Lepisosteus oculatus: one gene and its partner. The protein of the gene in region 2 binds, or shares a complex with, the protein of the main gene of each other region. Links are inferred from orthologs where the notes say so. Each region holds a gene or a part of one and is shown on either strand. Other genes may lie near its edges.

Region 1 (7,060 bases), on a different chromosome or scaffold from region 2:
TTCGTGATGTGCCGGGGCAAACCAGTACCAGTCCCAAACCTCGACAGCTGGAGCAGAGTGGCCGGGATGGCATCAGCGGACCTTCAGAATGGCACGGCTGTGAGGCGGAGGAGGCCGTTCCCGTGGGAATGGTGCCTGAGCCTCCTGCGGCAGCCCCTGTGTCCTCCGAGAGGCGGTGCCCGGAGGGAGAGCAGAAAACCAGCTCTGGAGGGGAGCTGGGACCAGTGTCGGAGAGAGACACAGCTGTCCAGGAAGTGCCGCCCAGTCGTTCCTTCATCCTAACCAGGAAGAGGTCCAGGGAGCTGGAAGAGCAGAGGCAGGAAGAAATGGAAAAGTTGAGAAGGTGCCACAGGAAGCGAAAGAGAGAGACGGAGCCTTCACAGACCCAGGTAAAATTAGAGAGAACGTGGAGAGGCCAACCGAGGAAGGGCGGTATGTACACGGCAGACCTGAAATCAGAGAAGAGGGATGCAGGGAAAGTCACAAGAGGGGATGTCAAAACCCATGGCCTGCAGGAGGAAAGGAGAGTCAAGGGGTGCATGGGAGGCAGAGCGTGGGACCCAGGCAGGCCCGTGAAGAGAAGGAGAGGAGTACCCTTGAAGAAGACTGGGAAGATCAGACCCAGCCGGGATGCTCCAGAGATGTCCACGACTCTGGAGGACATGGCCCAGGCCGAAACAAACCCGGAGCCTAGTGGTGGTGGAGAAAAGGCCAGAGATTCTCACTTAAATGCCGATGCTTGTCCAGACCTTTCATCCAGGGAGCAGGAGGGGCTGGAGGCGGTATCTGTACAAAAGCTAGTGCCTATAGAGAACAGAAAGAGCGCTCGGAGAGAAGGAATGCCAGGTTCCCAGGTGAGGAATGGCAAGGTTTGTAGTGGAGAAGTAGAAGGCCCCCCTCTGACCATGGATCTGTCAGCACGAGGGAGGGAGAGAAGCGAAGAAAAGGGTGGGGCACAGGGCGTCTCGAGGAAGTTGAGGACGAGGACGTCTGGGCAAGTGTTCAGTCCTGGGGCAGGTCTTCCAGTGAGATGGGATAGCAGGGCCGCACTGTGTGTGGGATGTGGTCCCAAGAGGAGAGGGCGGGATGCACGAGATGCCTATATCTTGAAGAGAACACCGAGCCATGCAGGAAGGAGAAGAAAGGATCAGCCTCAAATTAAAGACCAAAATAGCATTCCGAGTGCAATAGACAAGGTGGAGACAGGACAGGAAGCTGATCTGCAGCTTTCGAGAAGCGGTGTCAGCAGCCCACGGGAAAAGGGGGTGCGTGTGAAAAACCGTGCGTCTCCAGTTGTGTGTGGGAAGGGACTTGTGCCGCCTCTGGATCTCAAGGTCCGGAATGGAGGTGGGGCAGATCATGGCTCCGGTGTGACGGCCATAGAGACCGTGTCAGACACGGGGAGCGCGGCGCGCTCCAAACACATGGTGCTAGCCGCAGAGGATGGGGTGCAGGAAAACAGGGGACCTCCTGTTAGCAACTGCATTGCTAACAGGAGGGCGAGGAAGAAGGGGGTGGCGGAGCTGAACAAGGAGAGGGCCTGTGTCTGGGGCAAAGGACAGAGAGAGCAGGAGAAGAGTGAGGAGGAGCGCGATTCATCGGTTAGCAGTTTTGGAGGAAGTGACCCTGGACTTCAGGATATGCAGAGGAAACATCCCACCTGCGGAAACAGCACAGGAGAATCGGGTGTGTTTGGGAGAGGGTGGGGGGTGTCTGATACCTCTCTTGATGTCATGCACAGAGCAGGGCTGAGTCGGGAAGAAGGCAGTCAGGAGCCCCAAGGGAGGATTCAGCCAGGAAAGGAGGGAGAGCGAGGAGAGGAGAAGTATTTTGAAGAGAGCGATGATGAAAAGATGGAGACAGCAACAAGGATGGGTCTCGACACAGAAAGCAAGGTGGGGCCGACTGAGATAGCAAAGCAGGACAGAATCAGGACAGAGAGAAGGAAGAGAGAAGGGAGCCATGAGGTTGCGTGGAAGGCGAAGAGCAGGCCGAGTTTGTCCGAGAGCACCCTTCAGGTTTGGCCAACAGAACGGCTCCCTGCTCCCGCCCCCCTTCAGGACTTCCGGGCCACTGAGGGCTCAAGTGGCAGCTTGGACATCGAAGAAGAAGAAGAGGAAGTGGAGATCCTTGAGTGCTCCAGCCCAGCCCCCCTGCCGTGTCACTTCCTGCTGGCAGTGCTGAGGCAGAACTGTGACCTTGGATCCCGAGACCAGTCGGAGGAGGAGGAGGAGGAAGAGGAGGACAGGGAGCTGGAGATCGATGTGGTCGGGTAGGGAGGGATGGAGAACCTGCCTTTACCAGGTCCCTGGGCAGGTGAGTGAATGTCCGAGAGCTTTAGCCATGTGTTGTTGTGTTGTGTTATGTTATGTTGTGCTCTTAGTTCATGCACGCTCAATCTCGTTATAGTTGACGTAATGTTTCAAACAAGTTCTGTAGGTGTGCACAGCTTCAGCAGAACAAGGAATCGTGGGCAAATTTATTATAACACCTACCTATTTGTTGATTTTGCAATCAAGAAATTGATTTCCTACGTATTTTGTTAATTATTGCAGAGACATCCTGTTTAAAGCCAGATCAGCGCTGAGAACAGATCTGGCGTCTTGTATGAGAGTCTGGGGTTGTTTCCAGCACTATGAAGAAGAGTGTGATGTTTCACTGTTCTTGTGTTCCTTTTGGTTCTAGTGTTTGAAAAGAATTGTGTGGCAGAGGGAAATCCTCAAGAGAACCAGAAAATCATTTGTCCGTCTTTAGTTTTCCCAGGACGTTCAGCTCCAGCTGTTGGATTTAGTGTTTTGGACAGGCCCTTATGTTGTAAAGCGTGCTCTTTGGCAAGTCTGAATAAACTAACGTGGCTGTCAGATTCACGCCCCTTGCATGACGTTTTTGACGTGAACTGTGAGACGCGACTTTCAGCTACCCGCATGCTAGACTTCTCCCCGACTGGGACACTGCTGCTGGAACTGGGAGATGCAGCAGTAGGATGTAAGTGCCACTTGTGCCATATTGTCTCTTCGTGGGTTTTTGCCCTAGAGTGTCCGTTACATCCTTCAGTGGAACAGAGGGCCATGTCAGGGTAGCAGTGGATTTTCCTCTTGCCCAGTGTAACAGGCCTGCCCTGGACATGTGGAAAATACCTCTGTCAGCTCCAGCTTCTCCCCCACCCATGAAGCCTGTTCAGGAATCGCAGTGCTTGTGATCACCTTAAGTTAAAGATAACCTTCCCATAACCCCCATTAATGTGGCATTTAGAGATTTCCATACAAAGTGAACTAGATCAACAAGTAATATCGTCCCTCTCTCCTCACTTCTGGCTTGTGTTTTCAGTCTCCCTGCCCCCTCCTGCAGCTTTCTGTCTGCGTGGAGCTCTGTTGTTATTAGTGTGTGGATACACTAACTCTTGTGTTCCGAAGGAGGCAGGCTTCACAAGCAAAGTCTGTTGTCTTTATTTTTCTTAATAAAAACAATTGTTTATTTTCTTTAACCCACCTGATCTGGAGCATTCAGTCCTGTGTTTTCCACATCCCGGCGTTCAGCTTCAAACCCTGTTACCGCACACGGGGGAGACTGAGGAAGGAGGAGATCAGACTCCTCTGATTGGCCCGTCTTCCTGTCAGCATGTCACAGGGAGTGCCAACCCGTACGAGAGGATCAGCGCTGATTGGAGGAGAGGAGTCCTGCTCACTGCCGGCACTGCATGCCTGCAATCACTCAGGTGGTCACAAGAGAGCACTGTAATACCTGGAGAGCCTTGGCTGATCCATCCACAACACTCCTGAGACCACCAACAATACACCTGAGAGCCACAGCACACCTGAGACTGACAACACACCTGAGACCTTTCCACAACCCAATACACATCCACAGCACACCTGAGACATGTCTATAACACACCCAATACACATCCACAGCACACCTGAGACATGTCTATAACACACCCAATACACATCCACAGCACACCTGAGACATGCCTATAACACACCCCATACATGTACACAGCACACCTGAGACATGCCTATAACACACCCAATACACATCCACAGCACACCTGAGACATGTCTATAACACACCCCATACATGTACACAGCACACCTGAGACCTGTCTATAACACACCCAATACACATCCACAGCACACCTGAGACCCACAACAATACACCTCTGAGACCTGTCCACAGCACACCTGAGACTTGTTACACCTGTTTTGATACTACTGACCCTGAAAACCTGTTACCTGCCTCTGTACCTGCAGTCCACCAGTCTGTACATCTGTCAGGTCAGCATCTTTCCTTTTACAAAGTCAGTGTGGAGTGTAAAACAGGCATGCCACATAGACTAGTTTAAAATTAAAAATAAGGCCCCTGTGTTTTACTCCAGGCTACATTAAAAAAACATCTTTACACGTTGTAAAATTTCTCTTGCAAAGTTTAAAAAGTCACTGGTTTCAAAATCAAGTTGTAGAGACGTGCTGGCACTATTCCTTTAAACAATATGTACGATAAAGACTGTTTTAACTCTGAATTGGTCTTCTGACCAAACTTTCATCCTAACAGGAGTTAGAATTTCGATTGAATTAACGCAGGCCGTAATAAATATTCATTTCTACAAGTTCAGAGATTTCCACGGGGTGTCGTGAAGCGCTGCTTGTTAGGCTTGCTGAATTAGGGAATGGTATTCTCGTATATGGGCGGAGGTGTCCAATCTCGTATGGGACTACTTATTCATGTTGTGATATTCCTCCCAAACAGCAGTTCCTGGCGATCGCCACCAAGCGTCACCCGCTCCCGTAAGATGCACCCAAAGAGACCCTTAATGTGTCTATGGTGTTTTTCTTGGCGATGGCCCAGTGGTTGTTTTTGACAGCGGAAACAGGAAAGCGGTTCACTAGAGGGGATACATGTGCGTTTAGTGAAGGTGAAACGCAGCGGATGCCGGTGGTTGTAAACGATTCTGTCCCGAAGAGATGGACCCGATGAAAGCTCAGCAGCTCGCCGCAGAGCTGGAGGTGGAGATGATGGCCGACATGTACAACCGGTACAGTGATGTTTGTCGTGATATTATATCGAGAAATAAGCCTACCTGTGTGCGAGAGGGTCTGTTGTGTACATGCATGTTTCTTTTTCTGAAAACTGTCATTAAGACACCCAGCAAGAGCTGCTCTCGAGCTTCATGCGGAACAAGAACAAGACTGCGCTGTTAAAACAAGCTGTGCAGTTCGTTTTCCGCGAGAGCGTTTGCCTGAGTTTGGAGAAATATAGGCAAAAGGAGTCCTTTTTTTGTGTGGCTTCTGTTTTTCCACACGTAATGTTATTAATCTGGTCCTGACGCCACGCCAGTATTTGTAATCCCTTACACTTAAAGAGATCTGTAACAACCAGTTTTCTGCTAACGGCTCTCTGTGGGTACAAGTTTATTAACCCCTCTCTTTCTCTCTCAGTGCAGTGTTAATGTCCTGTAGTGTCCAGTCAGTGTGTCTGGACTGTATTAACCCCTCTCTCTCAGTGCAGTGTTAATGTCCTGTAGTGTCCAGTCAGTGTGTCTGGCCTGTATTAACCCCTCTCTCTCAGTGCAGTGTTAATGTCCTGTAGTGTCCAGTCAGTGTGTCTGTACTGTATGAACCCCTCTCTCTCAGTGCAGTGTTAATGTCCTGTAGTGTCCAGTCAGTGTGTCTGGACTGTATTAACCCCTCTCTCTCAGTGCAGTGTTAATGTCCTGTAGTGTCCAGTCAGTGTGTCTGTACTGTATTAACCCCTCTCTCTCAGTGCAGTGTTAATGTCCTGTAGTGTCCAGTCAGTGTGTCTGGACTGTATTAACCCCTCTCTCTCAGTGCAGTGTTAATGTCCTGTAGTGTCCAGTCAGTGTGTCTGGCCTGTATTAACCCCTCTCTCTCTGCCAGGATGACCAGTGCGTGTCACCGGAAGTGTGTCCCCCCCCACTACAAGGAAGCAGAGCTGTCCAAGGGCGAGGCGGTGTGTCTGGACCGCTGTGTGGCCAAGTACCTGGACGTCCACGAGAGGATGGGCCGCAAGCTGACCGAGCTGTCTGTGCAGGACGAAGAGCTGATGAAGAGGGTGCAGCAGGGAGCCCCAGCCACCGTGTAGCTGTGGGGAAGGACAGGGGGTCAGGGGGCCTGGTTTGTCAGTACAGTACACTTTACACTAGGGGACTGAACATTTCAGAACATTCATGTCTAAGAGAGCTGGGCTAATACGTTACAGTCTCTATCCGTATGCCTCTCTCTCACTGCAATGTTAGTGTGCTGTAGTTTCCAGTTTTTGTCTGTCTGTTCTGTATTAACCCCTCTCTGTGTCGGACTTAACGCCGCAGTTCCTCATGGTTTATAATAGGACTGAAGTTTGTGCAGTTTTCATGTTATTATGGAAGTTGATGCTGTATGGTGTTGGATGTTTTTTTCAACTTCTTGTTTGCATTTGTTAGTGTATCTGTGCTGCTTTGTCCCTGACTGGGACAGTTTGGTATTTTTTTTGGGTAAATAAAACCTTTATTAAATTGTTTCCTCTGCATGAGCACAGTGATTTGTTGTGTAGACAAGACCACAAGACATGGTTTCACACAAGAGAAGACCATTCAGTCTGTCCACCCATTTTGGTTGTTAGTAGTTCATTGATCTTAGGATCTCATGAGACTTGAAAGAAACCAGGGCGCCGGCTTCAACAGCATGGCTGGGTAGCTTGTTCCACGCTCCCACCACCCTTTGTGTAAAGAAGTCTCCTGTCCTGACCGGAAGATCTCATCCAGCTGTGTCTTGAGAGAAGCCAGGGTATCGGCTTCAACAGCATGACTGAGCAGCTTGTTCCAGACTCCCGGCACCCTTATGTTTAAAGACATTGCGCCTGTTTTTAGTTTTAAATATACTTCCTCTTAGTTTCCACTCCTGTCCTCTGTTTCACTGTTTGATTCCATTGAGAGGTTAATTACTCAGGTCCCCTTTTGTTCTTCTCTCTTCATGTGGAAGGAGACTCAGTTACTTCAGTCTACAGGTTTGTCTGTAGGTCTGAATTGAGTTTTGCTGGCTGGAGACTATTTGCCAGCGTATGTGTG
Region 2 (7,078 bases):
CTTCCTTTGTCAATGTCACTGAAGAGTCAAAAGGGCTCTGTATTTAGATCTTCAAGAAGCAACATCTTATCTGCAAGATGGTTACCACATTTTCGCCCAAAAGTCTAAAGACGTTCATAACAGTGCATTGGAACAAAGTAAAGGTTCGTTCCATGCTGAAAAGAGAAGAAAAGAAACAACAGCCGAAACATATTTATTTTCTTCTCTTTTCAGCATGGAATAATCACTAACTTGTTCCTTTGCAGCCTACGCATGCTGAGGCAGCTACCTACTTTTAATGAGACATCCTGAAATTTTGCTTGCCGTCTTTATTGCCTCCACACATTGTCTAAAGGCATTCAGCATGTGAACGCCGCTGTGACCACACGTTAAACATATCAAGAATTCACACCCTACCGGGTTCTTGAAGAGTGAGATGAAGTGGGGCTTGTGTTTCTTCAGCATCAGGTCCAGGAGATGCACGGCCTCTGGTTGCCTCCTCCAGATGGCACTGACCACTGTCTCCCAGAACTCTTTGAACGGCCCCCACAGACTGGCTCCTAAAAGGGGCAGAGGAGGTCAGCTCAGGCCAAGCAAAACCCATCCCCATCAGCAGGAAGTACAGCAACTAACACCTCTCTCTTTGGGAGAAAAAACCTAGACATCACCTCAAACAAACAAAGTACCGAAAAGACAGTACTTGTGTACGTTGTACTGTAATAATAACAGGTGCCTTTTTAATATTTTTAATTTAGTGCCCCTAACAATTAAAGGTTAATTCCTAACAATAAAAAAGCTGTGCCACATTCCAAACATTTTCATCTGCACTGCATCACCTATTCTTTGCTAATCCTATGTGCTTTATTCAAATTAATATATGGTTAACTATGTATGGAAGTCAAAGGTGAATTAATTTTCGTTCTCCATTTTTACTTCAGAAGAACAGCTTGTGAATTAAGCTGACAGTACGAGACTGAAACAACAAGTGTCTTAATATCAGAAGTGACCTGAGAAGGAAGTAGATGCATCTTGCCCTGATAGGATTGAACTTCAAAAACATTTCCTTGTTTTTTCAATGTTAATTGAAAACAGTGATTTGTAATTAGGGATACAGCTGTCTTTTCTGTATCATGTGTGTAGACTTTATATTGTTACAGCTGTAGGTGACTTAGATTGGTCTCAATATTCAATGTATTTTTATTCACATTGCATACCTTAATATTACCACCCTGTAGCCTGATTTATCTGATAGCAAAAGCTAGACAAGGAACTGGGCTGTTGGTTTGAATTTACAAACCAACACCCCAGTATGGTAAATATGGTAAATACTGTCTATGCAAAATCTTGGGTTTGCAAAATCTCAATTACCTAAAGTTTTTACTTCATTCAAATTAAGCGATTTCTCACTTCACCACCTGATCTTCTATTATGTGCAGGCTTATTACACAGTAATTTTTTGCCTTCTATAATGCAGAGTCCCATTACTTTATGCAAAACTGAAATGCAGCACCCACTTATTTGATCATAATTCTGATTAAGTAATAGAAGTATTAGAACACCTAATCATTTTAGACTTTTCGCCATCTCCCTTGAAACAAAATATCCATCCATTTTCTAACGTCTTTTTCCAATATAGGGTCGCAGGGGAGCTGGAGCCTATCCCAGCAAGCAACGGGTGCAAGGAGGGATACACCCTGGACTGTGAGGCAGCAATGCAAACCACCCTGAATAAAAAATATTTTATGAAATTTTCCCTTGTGATGTGAGCAAAATATAAGAAAAATATTTATGGAACAATCTTCAGAACGTCATCCGAAATTACGTTTTGTAAGATTAAAAACATCAGAGCAGCATGACAGTCTTCTTTCTGTGCGTACAATGTACTCAAAGTATACATATCTGTGCATCTCTCTCGTTCTTTTATTCAGACATTCAGTAAAGATACTACAGACATTTAAAGTGTATTTTGCGTATACAGTAAACCATCAATTTACCGGATTTAAAAACAAATACTACATAGTTTTAAAATTCAGGAACGTCAAAGGTGCTCTGTAGGAGTAAAGTCAATTGCTTATCTGTTTTTCGTAAACTTTAGCGAATATTATAACGTATACGTATGATTTATTAAATGGAGCTTGTATATTTAGGATCAAAAATGTCAAAAATAAGACAAACTATTCAGATAAAACGTATAGTACAGTTTATATGCATACATGTGTGTCTTGGGACAGAAAAACGTCATAATTGATCTGACAGACATTCGTCAATTAAGGACACCCCTTTTCCCCTCTTGTTAGTCCGTTAATCCGAGGGTTTACTGTACATACACATAATCAATAGTACTAATTTAACAAAATACAAGGAACAAAACATTTAACTGCAACAAAAATGATTCCCCTCGCGTGCTAACAACGCGGTTCTATATTCAAGCCTCAAATCGCACAATAAAGAAATGCAAATTCTTAAGAATCGTACACAATCAAGACAAGCGGTCCCGTGCAAGAATAATGGCATTATAGTGAACTGTCAGCAGGTGTCTAAATTCATCCCAATACATTACTTAAGAATACATACAGTACGTTGTCAATCTCCACTGACCAGTTCATGTCGTTACAGTGATTTCTCACTGACGCAAAACCATGCGTCAAGTTGTTCAGAGAATACCCTAATCTATCCAAATAAAAAAATGCACCTTTTCTAAATTTCACATTCAGTACTGGCAAAACTCTAAATAAAGCGAATAACGCTACGTAATTTTCTTAATTACGACTGACAATACTGGCGTTGTTTCTGTTATTGTTTTATATGAATCATTAACAAATCAGGTGAAGTACAATGCAAAAACATAAATAAATATCATCAATCACAACCACACAACCAGCAGGATTAGTTTCAGATTCGTTTCAAAATAGCTCAACGCAAAACTTCCGTCAACAGCAAAGAGGCACTTCTCCCGATCACATCTAGCTACTTTCCTATCCCGACACGAAAAGATGTCCTATTTGAACGACTGTGGGGCGCATGCATTTGTTCTTCGATTGTATTCTTAAGCTTTCTTTTAACACCGCTTCTGCAATAGCATGGCTCATCACAAGAACTAGTGTGCCCATGCAACACAAGAAATGCTGCCGGTGGTATTACTGGTCGCTTTTTCTATAAATATTTAACAGTTATACGAAAATGTGTGTTATATATTTAAGACGCACCGTTATTACGGACTGTTTTTATTACTTTATGTCCTTAATATGATTATTTAATACATATATACATTTTAAAATGAATATACCTGAATTTACCGCCATCTGCGCAGCCATGTTGGAGTCAACTCAGGCTCTATAGACAAGGGGTGTCTCATGCATGCCTGAGTAAATATAAAAGCTATATTCTTAAAGCTGTAGTGTTAAAATATTTCGTCTTCATTGGTGTTTGTTTTCATTTGTGGACAACGAAATAATTTTCCACAGGGAATCAAAGGCATATTTTACAAGTAAACATAATTTGTTGCTCGTTTCTAGTGCCATTCTAAATTTCTGTTCAGGCGGGGTCCAGTATGAATGTCGGAAGAAAGATTAACACGTTTTTTATATCGGGAAATGTAGTCTTCTCCGGCTATAAAAAAATGCTTTATCAATTCTGTAGATTTATAATGCGTGTCTTACAACAAAAACCTATTCAGGCTTTGGTGTGCTTTAGAAAGAAGATATGTTTATATATATATACATTGTTTATATGCGTGTCTGTTTTTGTTTAAAACATAGGGGACATAAATAAGTCCCCTATAAATGACAGAAGAGCTGTGCTGACATTTATAGTGAGACTAATGGATATTTTATTACACAAAAAAAGATTCCACACGCTTTCAATTCACTGTATGTAATAAACAGACTGTACTTCGAAAAAAAACAATTTTGTATTCGTTGTCTTCATGACATAAAACCATAAGCGCTGATTTGTGTACCGTGCCTACAGTGTGGGAACTAAAGAAATATTTCCGGCGCATGGGGACTGTTTTAGCTGCTGCACTATTAGAGGTTGCATGTGAGAACGGAGTGAGCTGTGGGGAAAGGGCAATTGTTTGTTTTTAATGTCTTGATAGTGTTATATTTAGATAGGGTGTTGACGGAGTTGTCTGGTGACAGGTCACTAACTTCCTCCTCATGGCACGGGTGCTGAAAATCTTGCAGACCTTGAGAAATCACTGGAAGAAGTCTGTATTCGGGGTCTGTGTGGTATCCTACGGTGGACACTGGCTCTATGGAAAACACTGGTACATAGCTACTGTGCAATAATTTATCATGTTATACAAAAGACGTGTATAATATATCGGAATCTGGGCATATTTAGAATTTGTCTTAAAATTCGTATTGTTTAACAAAGTAGGGGTCATAATGTCCTTGTTTGCTCAGCTCGGTTATATCTGGGTGCAGTGACATTCGACCCTAGAACAATTAGTATGTTAATTGCCAAGCACTTATCTAAAACAATGTTAATATGATTGTGCTGCTAATGTACAGCATTGTTTGCAACACATATGTAACATTTTTGTAAAAAGAAGTCCCAGATGTATTAAAAACATCTGCAGAATGTAAAAAAAAATGTACCGGTTTCCTCATTTCTGAATCTGTTCTTTCTAGCGACAATCTTTTGCGGCGGGCAGCCTGTCAGGAAGCCCGGGTAAGAGATTCTGTATGTATTGTGTGTACATTTCTGTTTTTGTGTGTTGCATGTAGTTGTGATTGGCTTCGTGTAACGGTTATGGGAAGCATCCTGTAAAGCTAGACAATAGGTATGGATATTACTCTGCAGAAGCATACAACTAGTCTAATGGAAACAACAAGACTAGCTACAAACATTAAGTTTTGGGTTCTGTACTTACATATTGGCACTAGAAAAGAAAAAGTGTCATGGTAAAGAATACACTAGGTTTCTGCTTATTTGCTTTTTGCTGCTGTAGATATGAATGATGTTGAACTGTATCACTATATCTGCTTTTAAAAAAATATATAATAAAAGAGCAGATTACATGAAGAACAGAAGGATACAACACTCACTATTAAGTTCTTTCAAGCCATAAGCAATTTATCTTTAGTTTTGCTTTAACTAATTGTTTTGGGAAAATAAATAGATGGCATTAATCAATTTGGATGAACTAGTGAAAAGAAACAAAAAATATAAGAAAACATGTAATAATGAATAATAATACAAAATAATCTTGGTCATCACAATTTTTAAGTTATTTTTGCAACAATGAAAAAAATTCCAGGTACAGTTTTCTTCCCCCCCCCCCTCAAAAATAACTAGCACTGTCAAGACTGATGTCAAAGCTGTGTTTTTCATTTCTAGGAGTATGGTCACCAGGGGATTCCTGCACATGTTCAAGTGAAAAAAGCCACTGTGATTCTCAACCCTGCAGCTTGCAGCGGGTAAGATAAAGGGACAATCATGCCAAACTACGGAATGCATTTGCAGAAGTATGAACTACAATTCCTTGCTTGTTAGCTGCACGACATTTTAAGCATCTATCTGGGACTTTTCCTTTCCAGAAAAGCCACCAGCCTGTTTGAGAAAAATGCAGCCCCCATTCTGCACTTGGGTGGCATGGAGGTTACGCTTGTAAAGGTATGTAGGTTTTTCTGGTCATCGTATTAAAAGTCTCTGCATTTCTAAAGCTCACTGAGTTTCGGCATGTCAACACGTCTGCTGCTTTGGTCTCCCAGACAGACTATGAAGGCCAGGCAAAAAAGCTGATGGACCTGATGGAACATACTGATCTCCTCATTGTGGCAGGGGGAGATGGGACACTACAGGAGGTACAGCACAGTGTTTCTAATCACTTGCATTTACTGATGGACCTGATGATGCTCCTTATCCATCAAGTCACTTATTCCTGGTAGGAGGGGAGCAAATCAGGAGGCACATGGAGAGGCTGCTTTCTGGATGGGATGCCTGTCCATTGCAGGCACACAGGGTCATTTTAGAGGCACTAGTTAACCTGGCCAGCATTCATTTGGACAGGAGAAGGAAACCTGAGCATCTCTAGATTGCAACATTTGAAATGTGTAGACTCCACCCAGAAGGCTTTCCAGTCTTGAATCAAGCCCACGCCCCCCAAGTATTAAAGCTTGCAAAAATGTTTTTGACTGTGCTTAATTTTTTATTCTGCAAATATTCCAAGCTCATCCAAATACTGTATGTCTACAAAAGGATGAATATGTTAGCTACAGCTCATTTGAAGGTGTCTTTTAGACATTGAAAACATGTCTGATAAAGTCAGATGAAGAATTGAATTTGAAAGGGCGGTTTTAGGAAAGAGTTCTAAAATTTTGCATTGTTCAACATGGTTACATGTGGCAATAGTTATGTTCAACTCAGCTAAAACAACATAAAGAATTAAATGTTATAATATGCATCTTGCAGCATGTAACCATGCTGAGCCAACAAGCACACTGACCCCTTTCTTAGACAATGCAATTTTTAAAATGCATTTCCCATTTCCCTTTCAAATTTAATTATTCATGTTGTCTATAGAGTCTTAAGAGTTTTGATCAATTTTGTAAAAAATAATCGTTTCAGACATCACATATCATATGTGTCACATCTTAATAATGCACAGAAGGTCTTTCACTGATCTTCATAAGTAACGGGGATGTCTTGATGAGTCTGAAAAAATATTTTAACTCTGTTACAGGCTGATTATAAAAAAACTGCCAGCACATGATTGTGAAAAATAACATGACAGCCCTTTATTTTCCTCTCCAGAAAATTAAACTCATACTAACAGAAGAAAGATTGTTCACTTTGGCTCTGTTTGGCTTCCACTGTCAGCTCCAATGCTGCTTTGCTCGGCAGCTTTTTCTGGCTCTTTGTCCATTTTCTGTTTTTGTCTCTCACGTTTGTTCGGATTCTGTGACTCCCTATGAGTCTGAAAGGTTGGCTTCTCTGGTCATTTCTTAGCTACCTTGCGCATCTGCTAACAGTTAGCACATTTAAATAGAGAGGAGCATTTAACAAAATCAAAATCACTGACCTGTTTCGTTACTTCTTTTTGTAGGTGATAACTGGCCTTCTTCGGAGAGCTGATCAGGTGAGGATGGTTTGA

The links. Proteins that work in one complex are often made in the same cells at the same time.
Region 1: the proteins of agk (region 2) and timm10 are in contact, whole or in part, in a cryo-EM structure (PDB 7CGP), measured with the Homo sapiens proteins. The link is inferred for Lepisosteus oculatus from reciprocal best matches to the Homo sapiens genes AGK and TIMM10. Residues at the interface, in NP_060708.1 of Homo sapiens: Phe49, Gly50, Asn51, Gln52, Leu53, Ile54, Pro55, Pro56, Val60, Ser91, Gly92, Met93, Asp94, Val95; in NP_036588.1 of Homo sapiens: Glu40, Glu42, Leu43, Ser44, Lys45, Gly46, Ser48, Arg53.

Annotation. Positions count from the first base shown.
Region 1 is NC_090701.1:41,476,676-41,483,735, reverse strand, and holds timm10 (mitochondrial import inner membrane translocase subunit Tim10), read left to right. Parts: upstream 1-4,832; 5' UTR 4,833-4,961; coding exon 4,962-5,032; intron 5,033-5,894; coding exon 5,895-6,099; 3' UTR 6,100-6,513; downstream 6,514-7,060. Other genes in the region: uncharacterized protein, read left to right, coding at 1-2,276.
Region 2 is NC_090702.1:8,697,728-8,704,805, forward strand, and holds the start of agk (acylglycerol kinase, mitochondrial), read left to right. Parts: upstream 1-3,971; 5' UTR 3,972-4,136; coding exon 4,137-4,246; intron 4,247-4,613; coding exon 4,614-4,653; intron 4,654-5,322; coding exon 5,323-5,402; intron 5,403-5,522; coding exon 5,523-5,598; intron 5,599-5,696; coding exon 5,697-5,789; intron 5,790-7,030; coding exon 7,031-7,063; intron 7,064-7,078. Other genes in the region: nuclear pore complex protein Nup205, read right to left, coding at 397-539, 3,266-3,293. UniProt on the Homo sapiens protein: Lipid kinase that can phosphorylate both monoacylglycerol and diacylglycerol to form lysophosphatidic acid (LPA) and phosphatidic acid (PA), respectively. Does not phosphorylate sphingosine. Phosphorylates ceramide.